Coturnix japonica: one gene and its partners. The protein of the gene in region 1 purifies or fractionates together with the protein of each later gene. This does not show direct contact. Links are inferred from orthologs where the notes say so. Each region holds a gene or a part of one and is shown in the gene's direction. Other genes may lie near its edges.

Region 1 (2,602 bases):
GAAGACAGATGTGAATATAATCAGATCATATATACGCTTTACTAGGAATATGGCACTGCCCACTGCCCTGCTGCTGATGTGTATTCTGTTAACTTAATTCCATTATCAGTACTGAGTGTCCTTCAAGACTAACAAAAATTAACAAAGTACCCTGCTTCTGTGAGATCTTACAACTCTTAAGACAGTTGTTCCTTTCTCTTTACAGGTGCTAATGGGCAGAGTACCTGATAGAGGAGGAAGGCCCAATGAAATTGAACCACCACCTCCTGAGATGCCACCCTGGCAGAAAAGACCAGAGGCTGGTCCACAACAAGGTGGTGGCCGAGGAGGAAGAGGTGGCTATGAATCCTCATATGGAGGGCGAGGAGGTTATGACCATGGAGGTCATAGCCACGGTGGTCATGACCGAGGAGGAAGAGGAGGTCATGAACGAGGGGGTCATGATCAAGGAGGCCATGATCGAGGAGGGCGAGGAGGACGTGGCGGTTATGATCATGGTGGCAGAGGAGGTGGAAGAGGAAACAAACTCCAGGGAGGGTGGACAGATGGTGGAGGTGGTGGCTACCAGGATGGCAACTACAGGGATAGCAATTACAGAGATGCAGGTTTTCAGACGGGTGGCTACCATGGTGGTGGCGGTGGCTATCAAGGAGGAGGCTATGGTGGCTACCAGTCATGTTCATACACGGGAAGTGGCTACCAAGGAGGTGGTGGCTACCAGCAAGACAACAGATACCAAGATGGCGGGTCCCACAGTGACCGAGGGGGTGGCCGTGGAGGAGGGCGGGGTGGCCGTGGTGGGCGGGGTGGCCGTGGCGGTCAAGGAGGAGGCTGGGGAGGCAGAGGTGGACAGAATTTTAATCAAGGTGGGCAATTTGAGCAACATTTCCAGCATGGAGGCTATCAGTATAATCAGTCTGGTTTTGGACAAGGAAGACATTTCACAAGTTGAGGCTGCTAAAACCTTTTGCTTCAGCAGAGCTCAGATAATAAAACCTTGTTTCAGAGTCCTGATTTAATCACTTTTGAATTAGTACAGGTTTGTATGTGTCAGGCAGAATCTTTTGGGGTGGGATGTTATGTGCTGAACTAAGTACAGCTTTCTGTAGACTTTCCTTCCCCCCCAGTCTGTCTGAATTGAATGTGTCATAACTACTCACTGCACTCCACCTAATCGTAAATTAATAGTCATGCTCTTTTGTTGTTGTATTGACATCTGCTCAAAGTACATTGATTCCAAAACTACCTGCTGTGTTTTGCTTGACACTTTGATTTGAGAAAAATGAAGACTGGTCTAGTCACAATTATATGTTGCAATATACAATGGAATTTCTGCATCCCCTAGCCATTGTTCAGTTACATGACCTAAAATCAGTGCTGAATATTGCTTTTGGATTGCTGTCCTGTTTTAATCAAAGTTACACACACATGCAGGCCCACAGAGCAACTTCCCTCTAACAGACAGGTTTGTTATCTATTATATGAGCTCTGCTGTAGATGTCACATTTGGTAGCCTTATCTTACATCAAACCATTTTTTTCCCACCTTCTCAAGTCTGAAGACTTACCGCCGCCAAAATCTGCAAAGATCACTTAAAACTAAGCTAAATTGTGAACTGGTAGTGTACATAGGCCTGTAGTTAGGTGTAGCAATTCAAACTGACCTGCATCCATCCAAAACAAGTTGCTCCTCCTTCAAACTTAATTTTTTACTTGAAATCAGCTAGAAGAAAAAACAAAAAGTGAAATTATTTTATTTGCAAGTTAATACCACTGGCTCAGCAGATCCAGGGCAATTTGTTTTGGGGGTTGTCTTTTTTAAAGAAATGCACTACGGCCTGGGAAGTTTAGTTCCTGCCTGGAGGAAGCCCTTTGATTATTGCTGCAGAAAACAAAGCCTGGCTGAGTTTGATGTTCTAATGTGTTGGGTTTGGTTTGTTTTGTTGTTTTTTTTCCTTTACTGAAAGCCACATAATGCTTCTTGCTGGGTTTTTTGTGTACATAAACATTGTCAAGCTGTGAAAGAAAATGGCTGAAGGTTTGCTGTTGTATAAAGGGTGAGCAATAAAAGTGTCTGTATGTTCCCCTCTGCTTTTGGTTTCTTTTCCTTCTGGTGATGAGTAAAAAGCAGTTTCTGCAGTAGGTGGGAACTCTTTTAGGTATTTCTGATTGTTTCACCTAGTTTTTGTTTTAATCTCTTAGGCGGTCAAATCATCTCAGGCGTACTGTGCATTTTGCCTCCTTAAAAGCTGTCAGAACAGGAGTGAATGGTAGGAATGGATCTTCATTGTTTTGGGGTTTGTCCTCATCCTTCTCTGATTTGGTGTAGCAGTAGTGTCTCCCTCACTAGAGGTTTCCATGTGAATTAAGCTCTGCCATCGTCAGGCTATGGCTCCTTCATGACACATGTACATGGTATGCATCTGGGAGCTCTTCTGATGCTGTCTGGGCTTGTGGCAAGGTTAGGTTCTTGCCTGGGTAGCTGTAGTAGAGACTGACCTGGTGGCAATCCCTTGGGCTACTTGAAACATCCAGAGGTCTGAATTTAGATGGATGCAGATAGAAGTTCCTCGGATTACTGAAATAATATGAGTGTTTGAGGA
Region 2 (4,046 bases), on another chromosome or scaffold:
TTTCCATCTGGTTTCTCCTGCTCTGGATGCTCCATGTGATGCACACACAGAGCGGAGCTTCTAAGGAGAGAAAGTCCCTTCATGTCCAGCCATCCCTCTGAGCTTTGCATTTAGATTTCTGCTGTCTCTGTGTGCGGAGATGATTTGTCCATAATTACTCGCTTTCTCCAGAGTCCTTTGAAGCTCCTGTCTCCAAACCAGTCCCTTACATTGAGAATAAACCACTTCCAAGCCACCAATAAAATGTGAGCTGTGATTAAAGCCCGGCTCCTCGCTTCGGGAGCTGTTTCCTAAGTGAGGTCAGCACAGTAGGAAGTTTTGCCTTGTGTGCAGGGTTATGCAGGAGGACAACCCCTGTGCTGCACTGAGGTGTGGGGGGGCTCTGTGTGATGCAGGACGGAGCTGAGCTTTATTGAAATATATGGGGTTGTTATGTGGGAGAAGGTAGGAAGTGGTGGTTAAGGGCGGTCTGTGCCCTCTGGATACTCTTTGGGAGGATATTGTGATGGGCTTCAATTCTATCGCCCTGTTTGCTGCAGGAGGTTAAAGCCGCACTGAGCGCTGCCTGCATGGGGATCTCCATCTGACCCAGACAAAACGTGGGCTCACTTTTGGGTCTCTCCATCCCAAGTGTGTCCCCCTGGCGACCCCCCATCCCCCTGCGCTGCTAATGGAGCCCAAATCCCACCGCCCCGTTGGGTGTCCGTGGGGAACGTGGGGTCCGCGTTGTTCCGCGTGGCCGTGGAGTGACACCCCAAAGCTCTGGGGCTCCATTACCCAGCCGGGACCGTCCCCCGTGGGCTCATTTGGCCGCGGACATCACGGAGCTGCAGAGGGGGGCAAGGACGGCGGGTCGGTGCCGCTCGGAGCCGGGCGTTGAGCTGGACGCCGCTGGGGCTCCGTTCCGAGCCGGGTCACACCGTGATGCTGCGATTGAAGCCGGGGGAAGCAAAACACTCGGACTCACCCCACGCCGCCTTCCCACCCCGCCCCGCTCAGCGCCTTTCCGCGCTCCCAAACCTCCCCCGTTTATTCGGGAATCTCGGTATCTCTCCGCTCCCCCCATACCCCCTATATCCCCCTATACCCCCTATATCCCCCCATATCCCCCCGCTCCCCAGCACCGCCCCCTCCCCGCTCTCCTCTTCCCGTTCCGCCGCTCTCCTCGCTGCGGGGCGGTGCTGGGGGCGGTGCCGTTCTGTGATTGCAGCTCCGTTTCTCCCATCCCTCCCCCCCCCGCCTCCCCCGCGCCACCCGGAGCCTCGTCCCCGCTCCGCCGCTCGGCCCAGCAGCGACACAGCGCCCAGCCCGGCCCCGCAAAGCTTCTTCCCCCCCTTCCCCTCCCCCAATGGAGGAGCAGCCCCCGCACCACCCGCACCACCACCACCACGGGCACCACCACCACCACCACCACCACCCGCACCACCGGCACTTCTGCTATTACCCGCAGAGCTCCTTCCTGCCGCCGCCCGACGGCCGGGCCCAGCCCAAAGCGACGCTCCGACACCCGGAGGGGCCCAAGCGGAGAACAGGTGCGGGGCGGGGGGCGGCGGGCGGCTCCTGGGGGGGGGGCTTCATCCTTCATCCATCCTCCATCCTTCATCATCCTCCTCCCCCGGCCCGGCTGGAAGCTTCTCCGCCGCGCTGGGGCCGCTTCCTGTCCGCCATGTTGGAGCCGGCGCGGCTGCGGGCGGCGCGGGGCACGTGGGGCTGCGGAGCGGTGCGGGATGATGCGGGACGGGGTGGGAGCGGGGGGAGCGGGACGGGGAGCGGGGACAGGAGGAATGTGCGGGGGGAGCGGGCGGGACACACACGGTGTGCGGGGCGGCGGGACCGCGTGGGGCGGCGAGAGCGATAACGGGGGGGAAAGGCCGGGCCGGGCCTGCGCTGCGCGGGGCATGGACGGGACCAGCCCCTTTTACCCCGCACCCCCCTTTACCCCACACCCCGTCCCTTTGCACGCCCCTTCCTCGCCGCCCCCCCCCCGCCCCCCCGGCCCAGTTGTTGATTTGGGGAGAGAACGGAGCGGCCTCGGGAATTGGAGCCTGGAAGTGCTGACACGCCGAACCGAACCGAACCGGGCCAAACGTGCGGTCAGAGGGATCCACGTGTGTGCGGTCCCATAAGGATTCCCTTCCATAAGGATTCCCTTCCATAAGGATTCCCTTCCATAAGGATTCCCTTCCATTAGGATTCCCGTATCCCTTAGACCTGGAGCTCTGACATCTGCCCCGCATCTGAGGCTCCAGGATGCACAGATAAGGGCTGCTCCATCCAGCAGCGTTGGCGATGACCAGAGCATCCATCCCCAAACCGCAGCTCAGCCCAATCTGCTGCTGTGCCGGCACGTGTCCCCTTTGAGCGCTGCTTTTCGCGGTGCTGGAGGTGCCGTGGGCCCGGCCCGGTGCTGCAGGGACACGATGCCACCAGCTCCGGGCTGAGAGGAGCAGCCCCTGTTAAAGCATCCTGGGAATTTCCTCTGCGTGACCTGGAAATGGTGCTGATGAAATCGCTCTCTGGATTGCGATGGGCTTTGCAGGGCTGCCTGCTTTCCTCTCCTCGCATCCCTGTGTCCCTCCTGCTTTGTTTTGCTCCTTGTGTCCAACAACGCGCTGCTGTCCCTGTGCTGTGTGTGAATCCATGGGTGGTGCTCAGCCCTGCTCTGTGTGGATGGAGATGGTGTGGATTGGGCAGCAATAGGACAAGGGGGAATGGGTTGAAACTGAGACAGGGGAGGTTTGGGTTGGATCTGAGGAGAGGGTGGTGACACACTGTAGTGTGTCCCATGTTGCCCAAGGAGGCTGTGGGTGCCCCATCCCTGCAGGCATTCAAGGCCAGGCTGGATGTGGCTCTGGGCAGCCTGGTTGGTGACCCTGCACACAGCAGGGGGTTGGAACCAGATGATCATTGCGTTCCTTTGCAACCCAGGCCATGCTGTGCTCCTGCGGTGGTTTTATGGGGGAGCTGATGTTTCCCTATTTCAGAACACCTTGAGGAAACGGGGCGCAGCTTGTTGCAGTCAGAACTTTAATGCTGCACATTCTCATCTTTGCTCTTTTGTCTCTTCTTGGTTTCTTCCAGGCTATGGAGAGCTGAACGGTAACGCAGGGGACAGAGAGGTGTCACTGAAGTCTCTGTGCTCAGAGGAGACCACCAGCCCCACGTCCAGGGTGCCCAATGGCAGCCAGCAGCCCGCAGACCCCAACGTGACCCCGAAGCCGTCTGTGAAGGGCAGCTCTCTGGGGAAAGCCGCCATCAAACCCAAGAATTTTGTTCAGAAAAATAGCATGGACAAAAAGAATGAGAAGCCCTACGACAGCAAAGTGAGGGAGGCTCAGCCTGCCGACAAGCAGGACGGGGTGTCCGTCCCCAACGGCGTGGTGAGCGGCGGTGCCACCTACATCACCAATGGCTACGTGGGCAAAGGGGGGGCCGACAACGACGGGAGCGGCTCCGAGAGTGGCTACACCACCCCAAAGAAAAGGAAAGGCCGGCGCAACAGCGCCAAGGGCTGCGAGAGCTTGAACCTCACGCAGGACAAAGTAATGCAACAGGAGGTCGGCACGCCGGCCCTCAAACAGGAACTGGAGAGTTTCAAGCCTGATTATAGCGAGCAAAAGGGGAACCGAATTGAGAATACGAAGCCTGTTTGGAAATACGAGGCGGGGGGCGGCGGGGCGGGCAGGGGGAAACCAGGAATTGGAGACGTGCAGAGGAAAAACTCGGATGCCAAACCTGGGATTAGCGGCAAGAAGTTTGATGAGCGGCCCAAAGGGAAGCACGCTTCGTCGGCCGCGTCTAAGGAGGACTCGTGGACCTTATTTAAACCACCCCCGGTTTTTCCAGTGGACAATAGCAGTGCTAAAATCGTTCCCAAAATAAGTTATGCAAGCAAAGTTAAGGAGAACCTCAACAAAGCAGCTCAGCCCCCATCTGCGTCTTCGTCATCGTCGTCTTCATCATCTGCCGGGGAAGCTCAGCCCGCCCCGTCCAGCCGGCTGTCCCAGGTCCCCATGTCTGCTATGAAGTCCGTCACTTCTGCCAGC
Region 3 (4,045 bases), on another chromosome or scaffold:
AATCAGCAAATGTCATCGGTGGGAGCGATGCTGTACAGGATGGCACACTGGGCTCAGAATCTTGCTTTCTCCAACTGCTCAGGTGATAGGTCAGTGGGGCTTTGGTTTTGTTTTTTCCTTGCTATGGACATTTCTGCTCCTCCGATGGACTTGCTGATTTCTGCAGAATTTGTGCTCATGAGAATTCCTTGGCCAGCTTGTGAGTCCTGCTCATAATAAGGGCATGGTTTGGAGCACAGCTGCCTTCAGCTACAGCACAGTGCTTTCAGACGCATTTGAACACATTTGATGTTTAGGTTTCAGCATTGTTTGACTGTTTTGAAACATGAACATGATTCTTTGGGTCTCTGATCAAATGGATGTGCATCTGGAAGGTGAGTCAGTTGCAAAAATGGATGTTTTCGTAAATAAAATTGAAGACTTCATTTTGCCTTACTCTCGTTGGGTGCACTCTTAAGGTCGTCATTGTGATACAAATCTCAGTCATCACAAGAAAGATTTGAAAGTGGGGCTTCCTATTGTTGTACAAACCTTAATCACTACAAAAAAGTGGTTGGAACTGGGGCTGCTTCTTGTACAGAGGGAGCTTGGATGTGAGGACATGAAGCACACCAGGCAGCCTGAGGTTTTATGGCAGCTGCAGGGATGTTGTTGGCACTTCTAGGGCTGAGTTGAAAGGGACAGACTGTTACATCTCAGTTTGCAGAGCATTAAGAGTCTACGAGTTAATTTAAAGGCATTTTGAAGTGTTGAGGTTGTTATGTGTTCACTGATTTGTGTGTGGTTACTGGTTTTAAGGGGCTGTGTGTGGCTGGTGCTCTCTTACAAGCACATAAGCTGTAAGTAGAGACTGAGAACTGGGCCTTGTGGGCAGCTGTTTGGGTGACCCTCAACAGAGAAGGATGGTGGCAGTGTGGAGAAACCAGGCCTAGAGAATTGGCTGCAAAAATTGCCTGGAAGTGCAGTGAAGCAGTTTAGGTTCTCTGCACCAATAGGTTTTGGAACTTCCCTTAGCTACAGGACTCTACTTGAGAGAGAATATTTTTGGATTTTTGTAATGACACAGCATTAGTATTTTCTTTGTTTTGCCATTTATTGTAGGTAACCTTTTTACCCATTTACTGATATTGCTTGTAGGTCAGTAATTTGAGGGATAGATGCTATAGGCTCCGTTACTGCTAAGTTTGAGCTCTCTTTGCTCTCATTCTCAGCACAAAGTTAAATTGGGTTTTTGAATTCTTATTTGTTAAGAAATCAATCCTTTTCAACATTTCTTAATTGTTTCTTTTGTCTGTGTTTTCTTTCAGAGGTCGCAGCAGTGGCAAAGGACCTCCTCAGCCCACAGTGAGTATTTTTTCCTTGTTGTTTCCTCTTTAGATACAAGGAAACATCTTTTCTGATGACCTTTCTTAGCAGTGTGAAAATGGCACATTGTGGAATACTCATAATTTTTTTTTCCTTTTGATACCTCAATGAGTATTTTAGACTTTTTTTTTTTTAAATGTAGAATATCTTGCATTCATCTCAGTCTCTGATTCTATGATCTAAGTCTCCTGGGAGAACGGGGAGAGAAGGAACTCTTACACGTTTGAAACATGCCAATAAAAATCTTTCTTGTGATTATAATTGCAAATACATGGATAAAATTTAACTTGGGAACAGATTCAAAAGTGTTGCCTCTGTGGAAACTCTCTATACTGACTTCTTTAAACAGAGGACTGAAGATGGTGAGACAACACTATGTTAAAGTGAAGTAGCAATTGTGTTCAGCTTTACTACAAAATAGCTAACCCAATGTTATTGTAGCTAAGCCTCTGTTACCTGTGTTTGTAGCTTTAGTTATTGTCGAGGCTAAAACACTGTTGCACTCTAGATGTAACTTGGTTTGTAGAATGTTTTGTGGAAGGTGAAGATCTGGGTCTTGATTTAAAAAACGGATCTTTGAACTGCACTAATCAAATATTTGCTAATTTGGTAGTGGCTTGATTCTCAAGGATGACTAATTCTAGGGAATGGGGCAGGAGTAGGAAGGGCTGAAAGGACTACAGTTTACCTCTGTAAGTGTATATTGAAGATAATGAGTCTCTTCAGTAAAAATAAAGAGGCTATGAGGGAGAGCAGTGAAAAAGGTGATGCACAAGTAGGAAGTGTTAGGCTTTCTGTATGTTAGGCTTACTGAGTGTTGAGCACAGGACCATCCTTAAACGCATTGGTTCCCATGTTCTAGAACTGTGGTGAATGTTTTTTGACTAGTTTTATAATAGGCCTTGTAGCTCTTTAGCAGTTCACAACTTGATGACTTCATCTCCTGTTAGTGCATGTTATCAAGTCTGTTTGCTGCAAAGATGTAGTTCAGGGAACATTTCTCCTACTGCAGCAGTTGAGGTGCCTTGTTCCTGTTCCCAGGGAGGGCTGCTAGCAGGGCTTCCCAGTTGTGAGACTTGGTATGTGAGTTCTACCCCAGTTTACATTGGGTTGAGGCACACTGTAAGGTTTCTCATGTTTTTAAGGGTGATCTGATATTTAATCGATCAGAGAAAGGGTAGAATCCTCTGGGCATTTGCTGTGACTTAAATTCAATGTATACTGACCAAGTAAGGTTTTTTGACCATTGTCTTTCTAGCAGCTACTATTTACTGCTGAGAGCTGACTTTGTTCTTGTCTCATTGCCTTTCTGAATTATGAGTGTTTCCCATAAAAATGACAACTTCATTATTATATTTTTTTTTTTCAGATTTCTTTTGATGGCATCTATGCAAACATGAGAATGGTTCACATACTTACATCAGTTGTTGTAAGTCTTCATATTTGCAAGGCGTGTAAACAGTTTCTATAGTGACAGAGAATTGTTAAATATTACACTAATTGTAATATAATGGAGTGAATATTAAAGTTCAGCAGTGGGCATCTTGTTCCAAGATTGAAATTTAAACAGTCATAGTAATAGCTATTGTGTATTTTTGGCTTGGAAAACTGCAGATTATATTTGGGATGGCAGATTTCTTACGCTCATTGGTCGTGTTTTGAATTTTCTGTCTCCAGAGAGATTATGAATAAGCAATGAATTTATATATAGGGAATAGAAACCCTTCATCCCTTGTGTTAAAAACTTGGTGATACGGACCGTCCCATGGCAGCTGGAATCTGGGATAAAACTTAACCTTACCTGTACCTGTGCATATGCATGGATTTGTTTTTGCACAGAGACTTGTTTGCATGCATGCATAGCTAATCAAAAGTCTTGTGTGTGCTGAAAATACTTCCGTGAGGATCTTTAATAAAGTCTGGGACATACCAAAGTGTTTGTATCTGTGGCATGCAGAGACATATTTGTAAATGGGCGAATGTTGAAAAAGTAGATTCAGCTGAAAGCTAAGCTCTGTTTTTACCCATTGTGCTTCTGTAAATATATATTCTTTGAGAAAATCACTTGTGTCATTTGTCAGGCTTGACAGAGTGCTACACTTGGATTTTTCTTGCATTCTAGGGATCCAAATGTGAAGTACAGGTGAAAAATGGTGGTATATATGAAGGAGTTTTTAAAACCTACAGTCCTAAGGTAAAGGCTTTTTTTTCCTTTTTGACTCTTCCCTCTTTTGAAAGGTACTAATACAGTATAATCAATTCTTAATTAAGTTGGAATATTTATTATCAATTATTCTGACTGATCCATGTCAAATTTTACACATGCAGATTCACTTTTGCAAATTTCTGTAAATGTGTGCTTTTTTTTCAAGGATGTGAGTTACCAGTAGTGTGTGGTGTATCCAATTAGGATATTCTTTTTATCTTTACTAGTGTGATTTAGTGCTTGATGCTGCTCATCGGAAAACTGCAGAATCCAGTTTGGGGCCAAAACGTGAAGACATACTAGAAAGTATTTTATTCAAGTCTTCAGATTTTGTTATGGTGCATTTTAAGGATATGGATACCAATTACGCAAGAAGAGGTATACATTTTTCTTTTAAGATTCTTAAAGTTATCTATGTCTTAAGATTGTAAGTCAAGATTTCAAAAGGTTTTTTTTTAATGCTTTTTATATCTT
Region 4 (4,221 bases), on another chromosome or scaffold:
CCAACAGTAGCACTGGGATCCCATAAGGTACTCTGGGCTCCGCATTAACCCCATAAAATCATAGAATCATTGAGGTTAGAAAAGACCTCTAAGATCATTAAGCCCAACCGCCAACCCGTCACCGCCACACCCACTAAGCCACATCCCCATCAGCCCCAAACCACGTCTACCCAAGAGGGCAATAGTCTTTAGGTACCTTTCTGAGAATCTTTCTAGCCCGTTTCAAGTGTGTTTTGGGTTTTCTACCTTTTCATACTCTTTTTCTAGCTCCGGTTGGCTGTGGGATGGAGCGCCCGGGGCCGGCCCCGCTTGTGGTGTTCCCGGGCCGTGTAAATACCCCCACCCCTTTGTCTTGGTCATTGTGATGCCGAATTTCTGCTGAGCGCTGCCATGGTTTGTAAGAAGTTTTTTAATGACTCATATCTTTTACAACAGGAATTCTTAATACATCAACAAAGAGTAATGCGGCCGCGTTCACATATGGCTCGTTTCCCCATACAAAAGCCCTCAGCTGCCTCCATCCCGGGCATGGAAGGGAAAACCCATGGAACATCGGTGTGGGATTTGCCCTCCGCCCATTGGTGTGGGGTTGGGGGGAAGGCAGCGCGGGGAGGTCGGCGTCGCGGTGTAGCACATCCCCGTCCCGCGTGGTCTGTGTACTCGTTGGAAATAAAGTTGGGATTTGTTTCAAGGCTGCGGTGGTGATGCTGTGTGGGCATGGGGGGCAACGGGAGGCTGCAGGGGGGGTGACCTGGGCTGGGTCCTGCTGGTTGTGGGGGGGATTGGGAGTGAGAGAGAGTGGGGTCTGGGCTCTGGAGAAGGGCAGTGCAAGACGAGGCAAGGCAAAGGAAGGCAAGGCAAGGCAAAGGAAGGCAAGGCAAGGCAAGGCAAGGAAGGCAAGCAAGCAAAGGAAGGCAGCAAAGGAGGCCAGGCAGCAAAGAAGGGCAAGGCAAGGCAAAGGAAGGCAAGGCAAGGCAAAGGAAGGCAAGGCAAGGCAAGGCAAGGCAAGGCAAAGCCCTGCCCTCTCATGCCTACTTCCCTTCCCCAGTGCTGGCCATGCCGCAATGACTATCTTATCCAACTGTCAAGATCTTGAACATGAAGGATTATATCCAGCCGTATTATGAAGCTGAATCCCCTCTGCTGGTCGTCAGCTCCCACAAGGCAGTAGGAACACACGGGCACAGGTTGCACAGACAGCTCTGGTACCCCAGCCCTGCTGGTGCCCGAGGTCACACATGAGCCCAGTGCAGCTGAGCACGGTGGGCACCCAGCCCGCAATGGGGGTGGGCTGTAAGGTCCCCCCAGTGCCCTCCATCGCCCCACGCCCCGCCCCCAAGGCCAGCACAGGCCACGCCCCCTTCCACAGGCCACGCCCCCAAATAGGCCACACCCCCACTGCCCCCCCCCGCCGCCGCGTCGTTACAGCTGGTCGTACATCCGCTTCCGTCCCGTCTGCTTTCTCCGTGCTTCGATTGGTCTTCTTAACAGCCGCTCAGCTCACGGGAACCAATAGGAGACGAATTAGACGGTATCGGGGCGGTACTTCCTGTCCGACCCGGCGGCTCGTTCTGAGCGCGGTGAGCGGCGGGTCCGGCCGTGGTGGCAGCGCCATGTTCCGCCGCAAGCTGTCGGCGCTCGATTACCACAACCCGGGCGGCTTCAACTGCAGGGGTGAGGGCCGGGGGAGCGGGCTGGGGCTGCACACAGCGGGGGGCGCTCGGGGTGTGCGGAGAGGCCTAAGCTGAAGGCAGGGAGGCCGGGCTGTGCTGTGTGAGGCCTGCTCGGGGCTGGACGGAGCCCCGGGTCGGCGCTGCCGCTGGGCTCTGCTCATTGACCCTGGTTAGTGGGGGGGGTCCGGGGTCGGTCTGTGCTGTGTGTGAGTAGGGCAGGAGTGTTCAGGGCCGGGTTGGACGGGGCCATGGGCAACCTGATCTAGTACAGGTGTATGTTTGGTGGCCCTGCCGGGCAGGGGGTTGGAAATACGTGATCCTTGAGGTCCCTTCCAACCCGGGTCATTCTGTGAGTTCCCCTGGCAGCACTATGAGGTGATCGAGGTGATCCTGCTCCTCTGCTCTGCGCTCTGAGGCCTCACCTGGGGCGCTGTGTCCACATGGGGGGTGCTGTGTATGGGGGTGATGTGGAGCTGTAGAACCGTGTCCATAGGAAGGCCATAGAAGTGATGGAACACCTCCCTGTGAGGACAGGCTGAGAGCTGGGGATGTACAGCACGGAGAAGAGAAGGCTCCAGGGAGAGCTGAGAGCCAGTGTTTAAAGGGGCTGTAAGAAAGGGGTACAGGCTCTATCAGGCTGTGGTGACAGGACAAGGGGAAATGGTTTCAAACTAAAAAAGGGGGATTTGAACTGAAGTTAAGTTGTTTTACAGTAAGAGCAGTGAGGTGCCGACTCAGGTTGCCCAGAGAGGTGGTGGTGCCCCATCCCTGCAGACACCCAAGGTCAGGTTGGATGGGGCTCTGAGCACCTGGTGGAGCTGTGGGTGTCCCTGTTTGTTGCAGGGAGTGGGACCAGATGGCCTTTAAGGGTCCTGTCCAACTCAAACTGCTCTATATTCAACTCAAACTGGTCTTTGTAAGGGATCATCTCTCCCTCAGTGCTTCTGGTTGGCTCGTTGCGCTTTGAAAAGATCTTGTTTACTGCCAGCTTTGTGTGTTGTGCATTTTGAGCTCGTCGCTGACGTTTCTTTCTCCTCAGAGGTTTGTTTTGTTGGTGTAGAAGCTGTTAAAGTTCTTACTGAGAGTTTTCCTGTGTGTACATTGTGGCTGTTTCTTACAGCACATTCAGTGGAAGTCGGGTGTTCGTTTCACTTAGAGGATACACTCCTGACAGGTCGTAATAGCACAGCAGCCTTGTCCCTGATGGGGAAGCGTTTTGCTTATCACAGCCTGAGCTACTGCAGGAGGATATTTATCTCATTAATCCAGATCACTGAAATTCATCCAGTGCCAAAGTTTCATGGGTGGTTCTCAAGATGCTGGTGGTACCAAATACTGCAAATCACAGATGCAGAGAAGTTGCTTTGTCCATTACTGAACCTTTGGACCACAGTCTTTGTATTGTGGAGTTCCAACTCCAAATGGTGAAATGTTGGCTCAACAACCAAGAGAAGAGGGAAGAAAATGCTTCTCCACAGTCATGGGATGAGGGCACTTTGTTCTTAGGGACAGACAGGGATTTGTTGCAGCATGTGATGAGTTTGTCCACGCAACAGAGTTGGGCACTGAAATCCTCAGTGTCACTGTTTTACTTCTTTGCTTAGTAACACCTATATTTGTATTCCTAATAAAAACAGTCTCTTAGCTGATGCCTTTTAGTGTTGTCCACTAACTGTGGCCAATTCCAAGTCACTTGAGAAAGGAAGAAAGCTCAGAGTGTTGAGTTTTGGTCAGAAGTTACACTGGGCTGTGTGATTTCGAGGTAGTTGGTTTTGCCCTTAAGGTTAATTGTTGCTGTTTTTACTTCTCCCTGCAGATGAAACGGAATTCAGAAATTTTATTGTCTGGCTGGAGGACCAGAAAATCAGACACTACAAGATTGAAGACCGAGGGAATCTAAGGAACATACACAGCGATGACTGGCCCAAATCATTTGAGAAGGTATTTTGTTCCAAACACAAATGTCTCTTACCTGAATGACAGTCCAGGGTTTCTGTAGTTGCTGAGTGTAAATGAGTGGCCATTTATCCCATCTCTGAATGTTTTCTGTCTCAAGGAATCGAAATATATAATTGAGGCCACTGCAGGAGTTAAAGATGGAAGAACGCTTTATGTGTAAATTTCACTCAGCCCTGTTTTTGCAATGATAGCATCTATCCTGATATTTCTTGCCTAAATTGATTTAGCTTTTACTTTAAAAACTGGCTTCAACTAAACAGCTTTTATTCTGTGCTTTGGTTTTTATGTAGCAAAATAAAAATGGATTAGCACAATATGGGCTTTACAAGTATATGAAATGAAGCTGCTGAAGCTCCTCTCTGCCCCTACAGTCATGTCAGTAGATGATTTTTCACTGCTAACATGAACTGTGGCAAGCAGCCATAGCTCTGGTTGTGATCTCCTGTGTGCTTGTGGGCATTTTGGGTCACTGTGGGGCTGCTGTGCTGGATTCCATTTCCTTTCTCTGACAACAGTCATGTGAGGAACTGAACACACTGCTCCTAATGCTCAGTGCCCATTCATCTCACTTCTGTTCCCTGGAACCATT

Evidence for each region. Proteins that work in one complex are often made in the same cells at the same time.
Region 2: the proteins of FAM98A (region 1) and NUFIP2 purify together in Homo sapiens (co-immunoprecipitation; 3 studies listed by BioGRID and IntAct, with this or other methods). This does not show direct contact. The link is inferred for Coturnix japonica from reciprocal best matches to the Homo sapiens genes FAM98A and NUFIP2.
Region 3: the proteins of FAM98A (region 1) and ATXN2 purify together in Homo sapiens (co-immunoprecipitation; 3 studies listed by BioGRID and IntAct, counting the BioPlex papers as one, with this or other methods). This does not show direct contact. The link is inferred for Coturnix japonica from reciprocal best matches to the Homo sapiens genes FAM98A and ATXN2.
Region 4: the proteins of FAM98A (region 1) and RTRAF purify together in Homo sapiens (affinity purification with mass spectrometry; 4 studies listed by BioGRID and IntAct, with this or other methods). This does not show direct contact. The link is inferred for Coturnix japonica from reciprocal best matches to the Homo sapiens genes FAM98A and RTRAF.

The regions. Positions count from the first base shown.
Region 1 is NC_029518.1:27,930,559-27,933,160, forward strand, and holds the end of FAM98A (protein FAM98A), read left to right. Parts: intron 1-205; coding exon 206-952; 3' UTR 953-2,090; downstream 2,091-2,602. UniProt on the Homo sapiens protein: Positively stimulates PRMT1-induced protein arginine methylation. Involved in skeletal homeostasis. Positively regulates lysosome peripheral distribution and ruffled border formation in osteoclasts.
Region 2 is NC_029534.1:4,761,206-4,765,251, reverse strand, and holds the start of NUFIP2 (nuclear fragile X mental retardation-interacting protein 2), read left to right. Parts: upstream 1-1,238; 5' UTR 1,239-1,348; coding exon 1,349-1,532; exon of another isoform or gene 1,533-1,779; intron 1,780-3,081; coding exon 3,082-4,046. UniProt on the Homo sapiens protein: Binds RNA.
Region 3 is NC_029530.1:5,336,595-5,340,639, reverse strand, and holds the start of ATXN2 (ataxin-2), read left to right. Parts: upstream 1-1,237; 5' UTR 1,238-1,344; intron 1,345-2,734; 5' UTR 2,735-2,761; coding exon 2,762-2,794; intron 2,795-3,487; coding exon 3,488-3,559; intron 3,560-3,798; coding exon 3,799-3,949; intron 3,950-4,045. UniProt on the Homo sapiens protein: Involved in EGFR trafficking, acting as negative regulator of endocytic EGFR internalization at the plasma membrane.
Region 4 is NC_029520.1:52,699,823-52,704,043, forward strand, and holds the start of RTRAF (RNA transcription, translation and transport factor protein), read left to right. Parts: upstream 1-1,413; 5' UTR 1,414-1,613; coding exon 1,614-1,674; intron 1,675-3,489; coding exon 3,490-3,614; intron 3,615-4,221. UniProt on the Homo sapiens protein: RNA-binding protein involved in modulation of mRNA transcription by Polymerase II. Component of the tRNA-splicing ligase complex and is required for tRNA ligation.